2 linked regions of the Macaca mulatta genome follow. The protein of the gene in region 1 interacts with the protein of each later gene in a pairwise test. Links are inferred from orthologs where the notes say so. Each region holds a gene or a part of one and is shown on either strand. Other genes may lie near its edges. The genes, in order: FLACC1 and SULT2B1.

Region 1 (2,709 bases):
TTGCATGCACAAGCCCTCATCCTAGAGTCACTTAACGCAAACCTCTACTATACCCAGGTGGAACTCCAAAAAGAGGTGAGTCCCTGCTAGAGTGGGGATGGGGGTTGGGGGAAGAACCTAGGTCTCTGTCCAGCTCTGCCGTATAGCTCTGCCCTGGATGGCTCTGGGTTGGGGAAGATGGCTTTAAAATATTTGTCTTTCAGAAAGCTATAGTGGGAAATCTGGAGAAAATGCTTCAAACCAAGTGTGCTGAAACTGAAGAAAAGTATAAGTACACCATACAGATCCTGATGGAAGAGAACATTCATCTGAAGTGCGGCTGCTGCTGAAAAAGACATGGCTGAGTTCTCTTTAGGAGTGGGAAGGAGTTTGAGTGAGGAATGGGTTAGGAAGATAGACCAAGTGCTCCCTAGTTATGTCAAGGCACAGGCATTTTCAGGAGGGAGGTGTGTCACTGCAGGCCAGCGACACAAAGCCAGATAGTTCACTTGAGGTGGAGTAGAGATGTGTCTACACTTCTCCCATTCACCTGTGTCCTTGTTGCTGTGCAAAACAACACAGGAAATTTATCTCCCAGTTTCTGAGTTTGCTCAGTTCTATGACTGAGGGTGGTTTTTAAATCCATCTCCCCTGGGAGTCTGATGGTCTTACCATTACATGCAGCTGCTTCTGGTTCCTATGGAAATCAGCTTTGGATCAGAAGGTGTACTGTTACCTGAAGCTGCATCTTAAATCATTAAAATAAATTTTGGTCAATACTTTAATAGAGGAAAGTTATTTTTATTGCATTGATTTAGTAGAAAATTCCTCATACAGGACTTCAGTCACCTGAACACCATACCTCACTAAATTCAAAACCACTGGAAGTAATGAGTGAGAGACTGCTGTGGTGAAGGAATGAAGGCACATTGCTCTCCCCGCACCCCAAATATCCTATACCCTTTCTAGCTTTTGAGTTGACATTGATACATCTTTCCTTTCTTTTTACAGGCAAAAGGTAATTTCTAAGAATGAAGAAATGTATGAAGAATATTCTGGGAGATTGGCCTCTATCACTGTTTCTAAGGATGATTCTGACACTGTGGAAGATGGTAGCAAGAAAAGACAAGAATCATAAACATAAAGTCGCTCTCCATTGTTGAAGATGGTCGGCACACCATTTCTGTAGGCCCCGGAAACTCCCGGCAGGGTTTTCTTCAGAACATGTGTATAATGAGTTTAGTTCTTGGGTTGCTCTGACTCTATTTTTGCTCTCTTCTGAGTGGCTGAAAATGTTTGAATTCTCATCTGAATTTCACAGCTTATCACGGACGCTTCATTGAAAAATGATGCTCTCCGTACTGGGAGCTGAGCTTTCTCTGAGTTTTGTACTATTTTTCTTCCACCTTTATGTATTTCATAGGAAAGAAATAGATTTGAAAGCCTTCTTCCTATTGAACTTTTACTATATTTGGGGGGGGGGGTGTACCTTTGTCCCCTGGGGCATTTAGGTAGCAAAAAAAGATGATGTGTTGATTTTATTCTAAAACCTTTTTCTCTCATACCCATGCCCCCTACTTCCCTACCTCTCAATCATGTTCCCTGACCTATGACTTAGGAAGGGTTTCTGATGATTCTTACCACCTTCTCTGGACCATCACCAGAATTCAGACACCCACAGGGCAGGCAACATAAATAAGTGAAGTGGGCTAGACACAAGGAAAACAATTGCATAAGCATAAGTGACAACTGACAGCAGCCTCAGTAGAGGGGCTTGGGCAGGGCTGGGGCACAACGGGTGGAGAAGAATGACCTGCAGAGCACTGTCTCATCTGAAGAAGGTGCTTCTCAGACCTTTGCCATGCAAAAGCATGAGGTCAATATTGTCAGATATTATTATTTTTTCAAAGAAGGTATCCTGGTTTTTATGTGATATCTCCTAATTTTTAAACGTTGACAACAAATTTTAAAAATACAACTGTGTGTGCCAATCATGGGAGACTCAAGTAGAACATGCCTGTGGTCCAGATGTTTTCCACCTGTGAGATGTCATTGGCAGAAACCAAAATCAAACACAAAAAAATCTCCAAGGAGCAGTAAGATCAAATCATACTTTATTCTATTAAAAAATATTTTTGAAAAAAGATACTTAAATTTTAAAGATAACTTAATTCCTAATGATTTAAAATAATCCAAGCAGAGATGAAAGAGCAAATGCAAATGCATAAAAAGACCCACAGCATTGTTAGCAAAAAGCAAATATAGTTAGCCAAGCCTATATGCATCATGAAAGCAAAAGAAGGCAAAAAGCAAGTTTGGGGATAAATTATGTAAAAATTGTAAAATAATTTGAATTTTTAAAAGATTTCAACAAAATTTTGTTTTATTAAAAAAAAATTTTGGCTGGGTATGGAGGCTCACATCTGTAATCCCAGCACTTTGGGAGGCCAAGGCGGGCAGATCATGAGGTCAGGAGATCGAGAACATCCTGGCTAACATGGTGAAACCCCATCTCTACTGAAAAATACAAAAAATTAGCCAGGCGTGGTGGTGGGCACTTGTAGTCCCAGCTACTCGGGAGGCTGAGGCAGAAGAATGGCGTGAACCCAGGAGGCAGAGGTTGCAGTGAGCTGAAATTGCACCACTGCACTCCAGCCTGGGCGACAGAGTGAGACCCCGTCTCAAATTTTTTTTCGAGACGGGGTCTCACTCTGTCGCCCAGGCTGGAGT
Region 2 (3,202 bases), on another chromosome or scaffold:
AGTGAACTGAGATCACGCCACTGCACTCCAGCCTGGGTGATAGAGTGAGACTCCGTCTTAAAAAAAAAAAAAAGGAAAATGGACTTTGGCAAGCCCATTGCCTGCACCGGACCTCAGTGTCACAGCCGAGAAAATGGGCCGGCAGCGTCCCCCGCTGCGGATCCTAAAGAACGCACACGCAGCTCCCGAGGGTCAGGCCTTCCTGATGAGGGGTTCGGCTGAGGCCCTGAGCTGGAGCTGTGGAGGGGAAGATGGGGAGTCGCTGCCATGCACACTGTGCTCAGGAGCTGTGGGGAAACTGAGGCATGGAGCTGAATACTGAGGGACTGGAATGTGGTACAGCCACAGCCACAGGCGAACGGGGTGGGTGGCGGGACTTTCTGTGGGTGCTGACAGGGCGGGTCTGCCGGAGCTCCCCTTTACGTCTGCTTGGAATAAAACCACTTCATGCCAAAAACATTCGTTACCAAAGCCTGGCTCTGCATCCAAGAGTCCATAACCCAGCCCCCTCCTCCCTCAGACCCGGGAGTCCATAACCCAGCCCCTCCTCCCTCAGACCCGGGAGTCCAGGCCCCCGGCCCCTCCTCCCTCAGACCCGGGAGTCCAGGCCCCCAGTCCCCTTCTACCTCAGACTGGGGATCAGGCCCCCAGCCCGGGAAAGCCCAGCGCTGGGTTCCTGCAGCACCTTTGCCTCTGGGCAGGACTCTGAGTCGGGAAACCCGGCCTCTGGAAGCCTTGGCGTGGTGAGGATTCTCCACGCCCCGCTGCATGCCCCGCCACAGCGCATCAAGGAACCTGAGCAGAAGCGACGTGTTTATTCTCAGGGTCGCGGGTGCAGGGGCTCAGAGGCCTGGCCAGGGTTGGGGCTGGGGCTGGAGTTGGGTCTAGTTTCAGGCTCCAGGCTGTTGGGCTCAAGGCTGGGCTTGGGCTTAGGATTGGGGCTGGGCTCAGGGTCCGGGCTGGCGTCCTCCTCCGGGTCTTCATCCCAGGGGAAGGTCGGCATCCCCCGCATCTGCTTGCGGTAGACACGATCGAAGGCTTCGCTCTGGGCCACCGTGAAGTGGTTCTTCCAGTCGCCGCAGACCCCTGGAGGGGAGGGCGCGCCAGGGGGTGAGAAGCCTCTGGGGAGCACCGTGCCCCTACCTCCAACATTCCAGCACCCTCTTTACCCCTCCCGGCCTTTGGCGAGGTGTTCCCTTTGCCAGAAACACCATCCTCCCCACCCTCCACATTGCCCCCTTTGTGTCCTATGGTGGCAGAGTCTTGGCCTGTCACCTGGCACCGTTCTCACCTCCACCCTCACTGCCTCTGCTACTGCAGGCTTCCTGTCAGTCCTCCCCTTTATCCCGGACCCTTTAAGTCTCTGCCTAGAACCTCTGTCTCCAACCCCGAATTCCTGCCCACCTTACAGCTTGTGTCACCTCCTCTGCGACCAGTCCCAAACCTCCCCTGCTAGAACAAGGCCTCCTGTCTCAATGCCCCCACAACACTCCGTGCTGCAGCCATTACTGCTGGGACATGGAAGGGACGCCCTTCTGCAGGCACTGTGCTCAGGGCTGGCAACCAATTTGCGGACTGGCGCAGCACGCAAGCCTCAGCAACCCTCCAACCCTCAGTTTTCTATTTTTTTTTTTCTTTTTGAGATGGCGTCTCGCTCTGTCGCCCAGGCTGGAGTACAGTGGTGTGATCACGGCTCACTGCAACCTCCTATTCAAGCGATTCTCCTGCCTCAGCCTCCCGAGTAACTGGGATTACAGGCGTGCACCACCACACCCGGCTAATTTTTATATTTTTAGTAGAGATGGCGTTTAACCATGTTGACCAGGCTGGTCTCAAACTCCTGACCTCAGGTGCTCCACCTGCCTCGGCCTCCCAAAGCGCTGGGATTATAGGCATGAACCACTGCACCCAGTCCAAGCCTCAGTTTTCTCACTGTGGGACTATCACCAGGGCATCACCCCTCACCTGGAAACCTGGGGCTGATAGGATTCAGGGATTCTGCTGTGGCAGCAGAATCGCTTGAACCCGGGAGGCGGAGGTTGCAGTGAGCCGAGATCGCGCCACTGCGCTCCAGCCTGGGTGACAGAGACTCTGTCTCAAAAAAAAAAAAAAAAGAAAGAAGAAGATGCTTCTCTGGTGGCTTGGCAGATGGAGGAAGAGGCCATGAGCCTCGGAATGCAGGTGGGTCAACAACTGAGAAGGTGAGGCAAGAGATTCTCCCCTAGAGCCTTCAGAAGAAATATGTCCTTTTTAACACCTTGAGCTTAGCCCAGGGAGACAGACCTTAGCCCAACTCCTGACCTCCAGAAATGTTAAGAAAGTACATGCAGCCAGGCGCGGTGGCTCACACCTGTAATCTCAGCACTTTGGGAGGCTGAGGCAGGAGGATTGCTTGAGCCCAGGACTTTGAGACCAGCCTGGGCAATATAGCAAGACCCCTGTCCTTATTAAAAACATATTTAAAAAAACAGGGGCCGGGCACCGTGGCTCACACCTGTAATCCCAGCACTTTGGGAAGCTGAGGCAGGCAGATCACTCGAGGTCAGGAGTTCAAGAGCAGCCTGGCCAACATGGTGAAACCCCCTCTCTACTAAAAATACAAAAATTAGCCAGGCGTGGTGGCGCATGCCTATAATCCCAGCTGCTCAGGAGGCTGAGGCAGGAGAATCGCTTGAACCCGGGAGGTGGAGGTTGCAGTGAGCTGAGATTGAGCCACTGCACTCCAGCCTTGGGGACAGAGCGAGACTCCATCTCAAAAAAAAAAAAAAAAAAAAAAAAAGAAAAGAAAAAAAAAGCCGGGCGTGGTGGCTCACACTTGTAATCCCAGCACATTGGGAGGCTGAGACGGGTGGATCACAAGGTCAGGAGATTGAGACCATCCTGACCAACATGGTGAAACCCCATCTCTACTAAAAATATAAAAATTAACCAGATGTGGTTTCGGGTGCCTGTAGTCCTAGCTACTCAAGGAGGCTGAGGAAGGAGAATCGCTTGAACCGGGGAGGCGGAGGTCGCAGTGAGCCGAGATCGCGCCACTGCAACCTCCAGCCCGCCTGGGCAACACAGTGAGACTCCGTCTCAAAAAAAAAAAAAAAAAGAGTAAACGTGTGTCGTTTTGAGCCATGGAGTTTGCGGTGTTCGTTACAGCAGGAAGAGGAAACAACTGCGCTGCCGCCTGCACCCCATAACCCAAAGTTTGAGT

What was found.
Region 2: the proteins of FLACC1 (region 1) and SULT2B1 interact in binary tests that used the Homo sapiens proteins (3 or more experiments, as listed by UniProt). The two-hybrid records come from large-scale screens. The link is inferred for Macaca mulatta from reciprocal best matches to the Homo sapiens genes FLACC1 and SULT2B1.

The regions. Positions count from the first base shown.
Region 1 is NC_133417.1:106,399,211-106,401,919, reverse strand, and holds the end of FLACC1 (flagellum-associated coiled-coil domain-containing protein 1), read left to right. Parts: coding exon 1-75; intron 76-203; coding exon 204-313; intron 314-990; coding exon 991-1,117; 3' UTR 1,118-1,957; downstream 1,958-2,709.
Region 2 is NC_133424.1:61,059,684-61,062,885, reverse strand, and holds the end of SULT2B1 (sulfotransferase 2B1), read right to left. Parts: intron 1,087-3,202; coding exon 821-1,086; 3' UTR 801-820; downstream 1-800. UniProt on the Homo sapiens protein: Sulfotransferase that utilizes 3'-phospho-5'-adenylyl sulfate (PAPS) as sulfonate donor to catalyze the sulfate conjugation. Responsible for the sulfation of cholesterol.